4 linked regions of the Cricetulus griseus genome follow. The protein of the gene in region 1 interacts with the protein of each later gene in a pairwise test. Links are inferred from orthologs where the notes say so. Each region holds a gene or a part of one and is shown on either strand. Other genes may lie near its edges.

Region 1 (3,500 bases):
ATCACCCACCCCCAATGCACACAAAACACATGCAAATGCAATAAAGCCTTTTAAAATATCACCCCATGTTGCTACTCCAATGCCCTTCCACTTTGTGACACCCCCCCACATACACACATTCCAGTCCTGGAGTTTGCTAAAAGCCAGGGCCTTGTACATGCTTAGCAAGCACTACCACTAACTGTATCACCAGTCCCAGCTTAATAGTTCTTTCCCCATCCCTTTGGTTAATTCTTTTAGTACAAATCTAAACAGCAATGTTATTGTTTTTTCTAAAAAGACAATACTTTCTAGGGTAAATATTTCCTACAACTAAAGCAATGTACAAAAGAAAAACTGGCTTACCTGTGTGTTCACTACTTCTTGAGACAGTGTTTGGTTGAGTGGTGGGTACATCTCAAGTTTTATATTTAAAATTCCCACAGAAACTTTTGATTCTGTTCCTATAAATACAAATATTTAAAACTCTACTTAAACCTTATTTAAAACAAAGAACTTTCAGGACTATGTGTATTTAGTCAACCAAAGTCTAACCAACATAATTTAGGAGTGATGTACTTTATGACTTAAGTAGAGTTATAATACTCAACATTACACTTAATATTCATATTAAAAATGAATCAAACTTTTTAAAATGAACCAAATCAAATTGATTTTTTTCTTTGTTACTAAAGCTTTCTAAAAACATTTTAAGGAACTTTTCTGACCTTGTGGATTTAGAATTCTTAAATTTATATCTTTAATATAATATATAATTTAATGTATATAATTCCAACTAGATGCTACATTAAGTACAAAACCAAAGCAATTGTTAAGAGCCCATTCTGTCTCCATGAAAATCAGAAAGTATCCCAACTTTTTACCATATGCAGTAATTCCATCTACCCTTTCTTATCAAGTTTTCAACTATATATGATCTATATATACAACATACAAACATATATGTATATAAAACTATTCAATATTTCTTAACCAAATCGGTATATACTTATTTCCAGGTCATTGTTATGATTATCATGTTAGACCTATTTGCATCTATCTATCCATCCATCCGTCTGTCTGTCTATCTGTCTATGCACCTAAAGCATGCAGTGTCCTTGGAGGCCAGATCCCCAGGGACTGCAGTTAACGAACAGTCAGCAGTCAGCCACTATATGGGTGCTCTAGAAAAGCAGCCAGTGTTCTCAACCATTCAGCCATCTCTCCAGGCCCAGGTCTATTTTTGAAGACAAAGAACCAGAAATCACTTTAAAAAACAAATCTCATGTGTAAAGAGAATACTAGTTCTTTTTATTTAAGTACAGACATATTTTGAGTCTGACTTAAATTCTGAATGCTTTGCTGTCAACTGACCAAATTTAGCTTTTTTTCTTTTTCTTTGTATGAGTGCATGCACATTATGTAAATGGCTTTGCCCATTCACAAGAGTGTGGAGACCAGAGGCTGATGTGGGGCCACTTCCACTATTGCTCTCAGCCTTAGCTTTTAAGACAAAAGTCTCTCACTGACCTGGAGCTCACCAATTAGCTAGATTGGCTGGGCAGTGAGATCCCAGGATCTGCATGTCTCTACCGCCATCAAGACCTGGGATTACAGATGCATGCCACCATGCCCAGCTTTTTTTGTGGGTGCTGGAGAGACAAACTCAGTTCCTTCTACTTGTGTATCATCTTACCCACTGAGCCATCATGCTATCCCCAAGTTTAACTTGTATGAATAAGTTGTAATACCAATACAATTACATTATAAGTTATAGATAAAACATTAGTGGGTTTTTGTTTTCCTCTTTTTATGAGCTAATACATATTACATAGTAGGCAGTATGCAAAATCCAAGGAAATAATGGTAAGATAATGTACAACCTCTGTCCTTTACTATTCATTGCTACTGACACTGACCAAGTTAGCAACTCTTTCAAATTTTACCTATCCATAATAACGAACTAGAGGAACATCTACTCATTCGTCAATAACCACTGGTATGAAGCTGGCACGGTGGTACATGCCAATAATCCTAGCATGAGGCAGGCCAACTGTTCTGTAGAGGGAACTCAAGGACATCCCAAAATACACTGTGAGATTCTGGCCATAACCAACAAAACAAACAAAAAACCCATAACCCACCCCCTCCAAGAACCAGTGTGGTGACGACGGTGATGTGCTGTACTCTAGGACATACCAGAAAGAAGCTTATGCATACACCTATTCATATGTTTAAAAGAATCCTGCTTTTCTTTATAACCTTATATTTAACAACAACAACAACAAAATGTTGAACCTCCAGAATTTCCATTCATTTTGCAGACAAAAAACATTCTTTGGAGCTGGAGAGATGGTTCAGAGTAAAAGCACACTTCCAGAGGTCCTGAGTTCAATTCCCAGCAACCCAATGGTGGCTCACAGCTATCTATAATGAGATCTGATGCCCTCTTCTGGCATGTAGGCATACATGCAGGCAGAACACTGTATACATAATAAATAAATAAATCTTAAAAAAAAAAAAAATTCCTCAGGATAAGAAAGACTGACTTTGAAGAACTATGGTGGCATTATTCTTCCAGCTATTCCCTAAGCCAACTTACCACTGAAATTCTGATGAAAGCCTGTTTTACAAGTCTCCCTCCTGTAAAGCCCTTTTGACTGATATAAAATAAATTTGCCAACAAACAGTATTTATAAAAAGGTGAAAGTGACATTAATCATCATACCTACACCCATAAGTTCCACAGTCAGATTGGTCACTCCATTTTCTGAGCCCAAAACTGATCTCCATTCCAGAAAATAGGATGCCACTAAAGTAGTCTCACCAAATATGTCTATTTTGATCAGCACCATGTGAATTGGATCACTTATGGATAACATTGTTGTTGAATCAGCCATTCTAGTCCCATCACCTAACAACACAAACCGAAGAAAAAACACACTATATTACGTATTACTTAGTAACACAGAATCATTTTACAAGCTGAGGATATAGCTAAGTGGTAGTGACTGCCTAGCATGCCCGAGGCCTTGGATTCCATACCCAGCACCACACGCACATATGTGTACATATAAGAGAACTGGGGTGTATACACACACACACACACACACACACACACACACACACACACACACACACACTTTTATTGAAAAGTATTCTAAATAAGCTTACATATGATGGAAATAATTTAGTAAGGTCTCTCAAAGTATGCCAGAATCTGGGGGAAGAATATCACCCCATTCTATGACTGACAACTGCCAGGACTAGCAGAATAAGATGAATTATTTAGAAGTTACTTAGTTATGTTACTTACAGTAGTCAGTACTTTCTGATCCATAAAAAGTCTAATCTTCAAAAGAACTTATATTATGTACTATTACAAAAGAAAAGGCCATCAGCTAAATGAGTTAGCACACACCTTAAATCCAAGCACTCTGGAAGTAGAGGAGGGAGGGTCTGTGAGTGCAAGGCTAGTCAGAGCTACATAGTGAGACCCACCTCAAAACTCCACATACACA
Region 2 (3,500 bases), on another chromosome or scaffold:
GGGCTTGTTGTCCTTCACCCAGCTCCCTTCCTGGTGCCTGACATACCGACTCGTGGCTTTAGGAATGACTGGCTATCTGCTGACTTTGGAAGGGGCAGCTCCTGGTTCTGCATAGACAGAGTATCCACCTCTGCTTGTTCCAGGACAGCCAGGGCTACGTAAAAGACTCCATCTCAACCAAAGCAAACCAACAAGCAAAAAGGGCTCAAATCATAGCCCAAGTGAAGTTGGGGCAAAATAAGAGCTGGGCTCCCAAGCTGATCTCCTGGGGGGCCTCCAGAGCTTTGCTCCCAGCCCAGGGGATGGGAGCAAAGCGTTTCTTTGTGGTGTGTCTGTGTTTGGTGTGTTGTGGTGTGTGTGTGTGTGTGTGTGTGTGTGTGTGTGTGTGTGTGTGTGTTCCCATTGGGGGGAGGAGGCAAGTGTGTGTAGATGCACACTCATGTTTGCATGAGGAGAGAAGATGTTGACACTGGGTATCTCTCTCAGTTGTTCTCCACTCTACTCATCGAGGCAGGCCTCTCTCACTGAACCTAATACTCAGATGTATTGTAGGTTCTGGCGTTTCGAACTCTAGTCCTGATGCTCTCACAGCAAGCTCTTTATTCACTGACCTAATTTCCAGCCCCATGCCAGGCATTTCTCACCAGCTCCCCATTCAGTCGGAGGGCCTCTACTAGCTCCAGCAGGATTGACGCCCGCTCGCTGGGCTGAACGGAAGGGCCTCGGGGCTTCCTGCTGTCTTCTGCCTTTATGGTGGGTAGCTTTATGATCATTTTCAAGGTCTTTATGGCCTCAGCATATTCACCAGTCTTGTTGAGGGCCTTGGCTTTGATGAAGTGGTAGAGGGGGTGGTCTCGGACCTAAGAGAGGCAGAGCAGAGCTGGGGGTGAGCTCACAGCCTGGGGAGCTTCTCCCGGGGGGCCAATGAGGCTGCCCTGCCTGTGGGTTAGCAAAGGGTGGGGGGGGTTTCCTATGCCTTTTTGTGCTCCCCCTGCCCCAGCAATGGTCTGGAAAGGAGTATGGGATGGACCACACAGTGTAGACGGCTCCCACCTGGAAGTTGTGGCTGACACCCAGCTCTAGACAATGGGAACACATGGCAAAGTTGCCCTGAGCCAGGTAGATCTGGGACATGAGGAGGTGGGCGTCTACAAAGTTGGGGTCCAGCTCCAGGCAGCGCTGCAGGGTGCTCTGGGCATTCTCCAGCTCCCCTAGGAACACAAAAGCAAAGTCTATATCCAGGGGTCTTCAGGAGCCCCCAGACCCAACGAGTAAGGGAGAATGGATTTCACACGTTGTACAGAAATCTCCATAAAATGTTGGCATTTTGTCCAGTTTTAAAGTGTGTGTGTGTGTGTGTGTGTGTGCCTGTGCGTGCGCGTGCATACGAGAAAGAGAGAGAAAGTATGATGTGTGCATGAGTATGTGCATACCAGATGATACCCAGTGTCATTCCTCAGGGACCATTCACCTTGTGTAGAGACAGAGTCAGTCTCTCTGGCTTGGAGCTCACTCACCACATAGGCTAAGCTGGCCAGCCAGCCAGCCCTGGGGTTCCACCTGTCCCTGTCTGTCACTCTGGCACTAGGATTACAAGCATGGGATCAAACTTAGGTCCTGGAGCTTGCAAAGAAAGCACTTTAATGTCTGAGCTCTTGCTCTGCCTTGCAACACCTGCTAAAGTCTGAATAGACTTATGTCTTCATTTAAACCCAAGGCATTGGAGGCCTGAACCTCCTGACATGAGGAGACTTGGGGGCCTCTCCGAACCCAGGCAGGCAGTCCTGGTTTGATAGTGGCACTTAATGCTAGGGTGCAGAGGGCTGGGAGGGGCACTTCCTCCTTCTGTAGCCAGGCCTCTCCATAGCTGTTGCCAGCACCCTGAGGTTGGGATACATCTCTTTTGGGTCCCAAACTCCCTCATCTTTTCTTGTATTCTGCGAAAAGGAAGAAGTCACCATGGCAACCTAACCCCCTGGAGACCTAGCTTTAGTCCTTACCCTGCTGGTAGCTACCAGTGCCTCTGGGGCAGTCCTTCCTCCCTGGCCTTGAACCCAGGAGACCTGAAAATTATGAGTGAACTTGGCACAGAGGAGCCTTGAGGATAAAGACTTAGGAGCCCTCAGATGAGTGAAGGCCCTCAGTGTAGAGCCAACTAGAGGCATGAAAACAGTCTGTTCTGCAGCAAGAAGATTGGTGCTTCAGGGGAGGGCTGTGCCTCAGAGAGAGCACCTGGGTAGCCATGGAATGTTCTCTCTCTCTCTCTCTCTCTCTCTCTCTCTCTCTCTCTCTCTCTCTCTTTCTCTCTCCCCCTCCCCCGGGTGCCTGAACTGTGACATGGGAGGGAGGAACTGGCAGGCCTGGCTGTGGCCTCGGTGAAAGCCTCACGATCCAGGACCTCGTGGACACACTCTTCCTATATCACACGTCCTTGCAGTTCCTCCACATGGTGTTCTGTGCATGTCCATATGTATGCAGGGGTGTGTGTGTGTGTGTGTGTGTGTGTGTGTGTGTGTGTGTGTGAGACAGGAAAAGGATCCCAGGCAAGGATCCGTGGATATAGCCTAGGGCAGAAGCTCCACCAGGTGTTTGCTAGGATTTGCTGCTCACCTGAGAGAAACTTGACCTGAGCTGTCACAAACAGTGGGTCCAACATGCCCGGGGCCACCTTCACCACAGGACTCAAGATCATAGAGACTTGTTTGAGAAGCGGAGACAGGAGCTGGCCAGGTGACCGAGGCTGTGGGAACATCAGGGGCTAAAATGTGTGTTTTGCATTTTTTCTTCTCCTACCTCCTCCTCTTCCTAGTCCACCCCACCCCCACCCCAGACAGGGTCCCCTGACGGCCTCAGATTCCCTATGCAGCCAAGGATGATCTTGAACTTTTTTTTTTTTAATTTTAATTTAACTTTATTTGATGTGCATTAGTGTGAGGGTGTCAGATCCCCTGGAACTGGAGACAGTTGTGAGCTGCCATGTGGGTGCTGGGAATTCACACACACACACACACACACACACACACACACACACACACACACACACACACGCCGTCCTCTGGAAGAGCAGCCAGTGATCTTAGCAGCAGAGCCGTCTCTCCAGCTCAGATCTTGAACTTCTAACCCTCCTTCCTCTACCTCCTGAGTGCTGGGATTACAGCTCGTGTCAGGATATGGACGGGGCATGGCCTCTGTGCTGCCCACCCAAATACGGTCCCTGTACCACAGCTTCAGAAAGGCCTGGGAGCTGGTGAAAGCAAGGACGCTTTGAGTTGCACCTAGGACATCCAGCTCTGACCCAGGACAGCCTCTGAGGTGGTCAGGCTTCAGCCTGCTCCAATTTGGAAAGCCCTGGGGCTGGGGCAGCACCTGTAACTGGGTGTGGGGGCAAACACCTGTAATCCCAGCTCCCAGGCGGGAGGACCAGGAGTTCAAAGGTCATCCCTGGCTATGTAGGAAGTGAGAGACTAACCTGGGCTACAGGAGACCCTGTCTCAAAAACA
Region 3 (3,026 bases), on another chromosome or scaffold:
TGGCACTCGCTCTGGAGACCAGGCTGGCCTCGAACTCACAGAGATCCGCCTGCCTCTGCCTCCCGAGTGCTGGGATTAAAGGCGTGCGCCACCAACGCCCGGCCATAACAATAATTTTAATTATGACATTTGTAAGAAGGTGGGCAGTACTGGAAACCATTGTATTAAACAAAATAAGCCAAATGCAGAAAGACAAAAAAGTCAGATGTTCTCTCTTCTACATGGAACATAGATTTAAATTTGAGTATGTATGTGTATGCATGGGTATTTCATGAAACTAGAAAGCTGACAATGAGAGGGAAAGAGGAGAATTTAAGGGAAGAAGAAAGAGAGAAGGGGATAACAGAATACATGTGACATGAAAGCCAAAGAGGGACCAAGGCCTTGCATACATTAAAGCACTATTCTACTGCAAAACCATGCCCCTTGCTGGAGGATTCTAGGCAGGGGCTCTACCACTGAGCAACGCCCCCAGCCCCTCACTGGGGGATTCTGGGCAGGGGCTCCACCACTGAGCCACGCCCCCAGCCCCTCACTGGGGGATTCTAGGCAGGGGCTCTACCACTGAGCCACGCCCCCAGCCCCTCACTGGGAGATTCTAGGCAAGTACTAGGCCACTGAGCCACACCCCCAGCCCCTGGAGAGCTTGTCCATTTCTTGTTATGTCCAGCAAACATCTTCCTATCCTACAGCCTCTGTACTGGAAGCTTCCTTTCCTAGAACAACTCTGAGCTTCTGGAAATATCAAATTCTCAGATTCTTGCTTCCTGTTGCAGGAACCAAGATTACAGGCCCCAGCATGTAGGGAACATGGGGTACTAGATATCATTTGCAACCCTTGCTCCTTAGTTTCTTCATATGTACAAAGGCAATAAATGTGTGCTTACTCTTAAGAGTTTACGTCAGGGTCAAATAAGATGAATACATATTGCCAAGTGTTTGGAATATGATTCTCCTGCCTTCTGAATCTAATCCCAACTAGTCGATTTTGATGGGGCAATGCCCATGGTGTGAACTAATAAAACTAGCTCCTTGAGGTCTCCCTCTCCTCTCTCTCAGCATTACGGAGTTATTAACTCACCTCCTTAAAGGCATCTCGCATCTCCTGGACACCAATCATCCCTGCTGTCTCTGCAAGCAATTTGGGGGTCATCAGCTCCACAAAGTCTTCGAAGTCTACACGGCCACCAACTGAGGAAGAAGGAACCACGGTTGGCAAGGATTCCCCAGGCTCTGAACTTCTAACCCCACACTTTCCATTCAAGCTAGAAATAGATCAGTTGCCATCTTTCTACATGCTAAGAATTTTTAGTCTCTTCCTCTTCTCAGCCAAGTCAAGTCCTCAGGTTGCTCTAACGTGAACGAACTTATTAGACAAAGGACATAGGTATAACTGGGTGATCTTCAGCAAATCTCTTCCATTTTCGTCATTTTCAACTCTCTGTGTGTACGTGTATGTGTGCACATGAGTGCAGTGCCCACAGAGGCCAGAAGTGGGCATCAGATTCTCCTGCAGGTGGAGCTACAGATGGCTATGGGCTGCCCAACATGGGTGATGGGATCTGAACTCAGGGCCTCTGCAAGAGCAGTAGACACTCTTAACCACAGAGTCATCTGTCCAGACCCACTCGCAAATCTCTTACTGGGTTAAGGCTTAGTCATACTCCACCTATAGATCAGTAGAAGAAATATGGACTTAAATGTGGACCAGTCTCTTTCAGGAAAGATGATAGTCGTCCCTTTGCATCCCCTGAAAACTGGTACTAGGACATCCATGGTATATCAAAGCATGTTGATGCTCAAGTCCCTATCATAAGTGTCATAATATATGTATACTGCAATCTCTCATATGCTCTAGTCACCTCTAGATTATACTTTATCTGCTACACTGAGATGCTCTGTGAATAGCAGCTCTGCTGAATTGTTTGGGAAGCAGGGAGAGACGGAAAGTCGGTATGTGTTCAGTGCAGATACAGCTCCTTTCTAAATATTTTCTGTTGGCACTTGCTTGAACCTGCAGATATGGAAACAGAAGATGGGGTCCTAATTACTATTGTGACATGGAATTCAACTTTGTTATTTCAGATCCACGACCAGGAGCCAACCTAATTCTGGATTCAATCACAAGATCAACTTTTGTTTCCATTTAATGATGCATTCCTGAGCAATGCAACTAAGTGACATGGGATCCAACACCAAGTGTGTGTTCAACCATCAAGGTCAACATCAAGCTACTCTACTGATAAGAGCCTACATCCAATAAGGACTCATTGGGGGATATGACCTCTCACACAGTGGCACCCTTTCTATAACACAATGAACAAATAAGGCACGATCATCTTTACTTGATAGATCTGGAAACTGAAAACCAGGAATATTCCAGACATATTCCACTGTTCAAAATGACCACAAGGAGTAAGTAATGAAAGTGGAACTCATGGGCCAGGGAGATGGCTTAGCAAATGAAAAGTATTTTCTGTCCAGGTTGATGACATTGAGTTTGATCCCCAGGACCCACAAGGTGAAATGAGAGAGCTGACTCCTGCAAATTGTCCTCTGTGACATTCGCATACACTCCCTCCTCCATCAAATATATAAATTCAGTTTTAAAATTTAAAGCTGGACAGGCTTAGATATTATTCCACAGAGGACCTGGGTTTAGTTTCTAGAACCTACATAGCAGCTCATGACTGTGTGTAACCCCAGTTCCAGGGAATCTGGTACCTTCTTCTGGCTTCTGCAGGTGCCAAGCACATACTTGGTGCACAGACATACACACAGGCAAAAGTTCATACTCATGATTTTTTTTAATCTTTAACAGTTTTAATAATAAAAGGTGCGACTAGTGTCTAGATCCATCTTTAAAAGTCCTCTTTCTAACTACTTCTAATGCAGTACAGCTGCCTTCTGCCAGACAGCTCTTTCCCCTTAACCAATTTACTACTTAATGTGCTACTCTCGACCCGAACACCTTTCTCACTCCCACCCTGTCCTAATTCTGGCATGTCCCCAACCCCTGTCCTCAC
Region 4 (3,500 bases), on another chromosome or scaffold:
AGGCCCTAAACCCGCACTATTTAGATGGAAGCTGCTTTACTCCCTCGTTACCATCCTCAGTCCACAAAGCCTGAAAAAAAAAAAAAAACAATGAAGAACAACAGAGAGGTGCATACATCATTTTTTATTTAAATGCTCACTATAATAAATAAATGTTTTCACACTAAAAAAATAATCTCAGCCATGTGCCACCATGCACACCTTTAATCTCAGCACTCAGGAGACAGAGGCAAGCAGATCCACTGAGTTCAAGGCCAGCCTGCTCTATAGAGAGAGAGAGTTCCAGGACAGCCAGAACTACACAGAGAAACCCTGTCTGGAAAAAAAAAAAAAAACTATATATAAAAACCCAATGTCAGAACTGGTTTCAAAAGTTAAATTTGTGATTCTATGGGGACAAGAGGCTTTGGCCAAATTGTTCCTGCCCATGAACAAGCTCCACCAGGTGTCTGGGAACTTCTCCAAGGTCATCCTGGTCTTGGTTGAATGGTATCCTGGTTAGTTCTAAATATCAATGTGTCACAACTGAGAACTGTCCAAGAGCAGAGCTTCGGTGGAGTAAATGCTTTGAGGGCAATGTCTGTGAGGAACTGTCCCGACTGTCATGGATGTAGGGGAACCCGGCCCACTGTGAGCAGTTCCATCCCTAGGCAGGCGGTCCTGAACTGTATAAAAAAAGCTGAGTATACACAGCTGTGAGCCGGTTAGCAAGCAGTACCCACCATGGCTCCTGCTATGCTTCTTAGGCTCTGAAGTGAATTCCTTGGTCAGAGGTAATGCTGCGTGGTAATAGCAAGCAGGCCTACCTTCAGGTTCCAGCCTCTGCCTCCCTCAGTGATGGGCTGTGACCTGGAATTGTAAACCTATCAAAGCCTTTCCTCCTCTGTGTTGCTCTTGGACAGTGATTTACCACAGCAACAGGAATGAAATTAGGACAGGCAGCCTCTCCCATGCTCCCTAACACTTGACTGTCCAGCACTAGAATACGATGTTTGGCCTGGCAGCAAACACTTCACACCACCTGCCTCTGTCTGCACCCCAACTCTGTAGTGAAAGTCAAACACAGAGTAGAGAAACTGACTCAGGACCCATCTTCATGGTGACCTATAGATTACAAAAGGCTAGAGAGTCCAGCATGAAGTAGGTAACTGATAACTGACTCAGGACCCATCTCCATGGTGACCTGCAGATTACAAAAGACTTATAAACAGCAACTCCTTTAAGTCTGGGCTGGACATGGGAATCATGGAAGAAACACTTGGAGGTCCTGTTACAACCCTTCTCCCATTTACACAAGACACTGCTCCAGGACCCAGCCTTTTGGGATAGCAGCAGGACCCAGACCTCTGAGGTAGCAGTCCTTACAGAGAGAATGGGTAGAGGTCCTGTCTGTCTCCTGCTCTGCTCATGGCAAAGGCTTCTTGGCTGCTGGTGGGAGCAGGAGGCCTAACAGCCTCTTCCATTGGGGCAAGCCCAGCCAGGCAACAAGGCTAAGCCCTCTGGCAACCCTAGGCAGAATCACCAGCCAGGAACCCTGGGTCGCCCAGAGCTCCAAGGGCTGGCATCCAACTTTTCTGGGAGCTTTGAGTGTGACAAGGGCTTTGGCTTTCCTCTCTGGTCCAGGTCCTGGGAGAGATCTTCCAAGGACGAGATCTCCAAGTCACTCTCATCCTCAGAAAGCTGCAGAGGTAAAAGAGAAGAAAATAGATTTTGATAAATGCAGGAAGATGACAGCAGCATCCAAGATAGAAATGGTCCTGCCTTCCAAGCTCCTGGCCTCTGAAAACCTGCTCCAGAGACTCAGGGCCACAGTGATGGAAATAGGTCTGGTATCCTACTAAGAATCTCGGGGAGGTTTACAGGTAGATCTGGCTGCTCACGTTTGCATTTAAACCTGGGCAGTGTGCTTGTTCACAGCATCATGTATCTGCATTAGACTATTAGTGCTCACTCACAACAGAGAAGAGGGAGAGCTTGGAGATGTTTACATGCGCTCTGTGATGAGACTGAATCAGTAGGTAATAAAAAGGTAGATGGGGTAATATTATGTGCAGATTTTTCATTCCTCACATTGACAGAACTGGAAGCCCAGAGCCTTTAACTTTTGACACTCTTGACATGAATGCACCTTAGTCAAAAGAACCTTTCCTCACAGACTGGTGCTCAGAGCTACCTGGGAAACACTGAACTTGAGAGGAGATGGGGTCAACAGGATATCCTGGAATAGGTCTGAGCTGCAGCTAATGGTCAAACTAACATCTTCTGAGAGATCAGGCTCCATCTACACCACAGTAATAGCCAAGGCCAGGAGTTCCCATCCAGGGTTTGCAGCTCCTCTGCTGGCTGCCTGGGCTTTGACATATAACATTCCATGTATTTCATCCTGGCATGAAAAGAAGATACCATCCAGGGCCTAGACAGCACCTGTCTAATTTACACTATTTGGTGCTCTTTCTCAGTAGAGAACAGAAACTGGGGCTCTTTACATAAACTCCAAGAGAAGCCAAGCATACCATGTGATGAGAAAAGGTATGTAGGAGTGCTAATATAAAACACAAGTGAGGGGGTATGGGGACTGCTCAGTGACAGTGCCTGCTTGCCAGGTTCCATCAGCGGCACCAGAAAGTCAACTGCTCCCTGCTACTTCTGTTGCTAAGGCCAACAACCTCATCATCTCCAGATGGACCTCTTTGGTTGAAAGGAACCAAGTGCAAAGAGTTCTATACTTGCCTACCTTAGAAAATAGCAGAAAGTGGCAGTTGGTCCCTAATGGAGGGAGACAATGGCAAAAAGAGTCTGGCACTCATGTGAGTACCAAGTCTGCAAATCCCATGGCAGCTACAGCGTCAGGGAGGCCAGGCCACCAAGATAAGCAGTGAGTGGTGAGGCACCCGCCATCTTGAATAGTTGGAACACGGCTATCTACATTTCCCCATCTGATGTGCTGTGTGGCAACACTCCGATGGTGGCCGGTGCTTTATATCCTGCCCTCTGTTGAGGTCTTCTGTGAAGCAATTGCTGGGGAGGGGCCCAGTATGGAAGAGACAGTGTGGGAAAATAGCAGCCACAACAGGAGGCTCTCAGAGGCAGATTAGGAAACAAACCTCCTCAGAAAGTACTTACATAATGAACCAAAGGGCTTTTTAACATTAACATGGGCACAGAAAAAAAAAAATCCAAAGTGGTCATCTTTCCACATATATAGGGACAAAGGAGACAAAGTCACATGCAATGTCCTTCTGGGGACATGTCAAAGCTGATACTTGCTCAGTCTGTCCCCAATCTTCACCCCACAGCCCTCAAATTTGGATCTGTCTCTCTATGGGATGTAGGGTCATCTTCAAGTGTCCTACCTGAGACTTCCTTGCAGGTGTGGAAGACTTCTGAAGGGCAGTGTTGGGCCTTAAGAACACACTGACCCCTCCAGAGGGCTTCTTTACTGGCGTTTCAAGCTGCTTCTCGAGGTTTTTGACCATCGACTGCACCAGTGTTCCTGAAAG

The links.
Region 2: the proteins of Cep76 (region 1) and Ttc21a interact in a two-hybrid assay, tested with the Homo sapiens proteins (2 studies listed by BioGRID). The two-hybrid records come from large-scale screens. The link is inferred for Cricetulus griseus from reciprocal best matches to the Homo sapiens genes CEP76 and TTC21A.
Region 3: the proteins of Cep76 (region 1) and Cabp5 interact in binary tests that used the Homo sapiens proteins (3 or more experiments, as listed by UniProt). The link is inferred for Cricetulus griseus from reciprocal best matches to the Homo sapiens genes CEP76 and CABP5.
Region 4: the proteins of Cep76 (region 1) and Dzip1l interact in binary tests that used the Homo sapiens proteins (3 or more experiments, as listed by UniProt). The link is inferred for Cricetulus griseus from reciprocal best matches to the Homo sapiens genes CEP76 and DZIP1L.

What each region holds. Positions count from the first base shown.
Region 1 is NC_048595.1:171,774,427-171,777,926, reverse strand, and holds part of Cep76 (centrosomal protein of 76 kDa), read right to left. Parts: intron 2,894-3,500; coding exon 2,708-2,893; intron 444-2,707; coding exon 346-443; intron 1-345. UniProt on the Homo sapiens protein: Centrosomal protein involved in regulation of centriole duplication. Required to limit centriole duplication to once per cell cycle by preventing centriole reduplication.
Region 2 is NC_048597.1:227,045,489-227,048,988, reverse strand, and holds part of Ttc21a (tetratricopeptide repeat protein 21A), read right to left. Parts: intron 2,741-3,500; coding exon 2,611-2,740; intron 1,212-2,610; coding exon 1,054-1,211; intron 861-1,053; coding exon 645-860; intron 1-644. UniProt on the Homo sapiens protein: Intraflagellar transport (IFT)-associated protein required for spermatogenesis. Required for sperm flagellar formation and intraflagellar transport.
Region 3 is NC_048602.1:26,482,334-26,485,359, forward strand, and holds part of Cabp5 (calcium-binding protein 5), read right to left. Parts: intron 1,192-3,026; coding exon 1,082-1,191; intron 1-1,081. UniProt on the Homo sapiens protein: Inhibits calcium-dependent inactivation of L-type calcium channel and shifts voltage dependence of activation to more depolarized membrane potentials. Involved in the transmission of light signals.
Region 4 is NC_048597.1:208,067,856-208,071,355, reverse strand, and holds the end of Dzip1l (zinc finger protein DZIP1L), read right to left. Parts: intron 3,494-3,500; coding exon 3,354-3,493; intron 1,681-3,353; coding exon 1,519-1,680; 3' UTR 321-1,518; downstream 1-320. UniProt on the Homo sapiens protein: Involved in primary cilium formation. Probably acts as a transition zone protein required for localization of PKD1/PC1 and PKD2/PC2 to the ciliary membrane.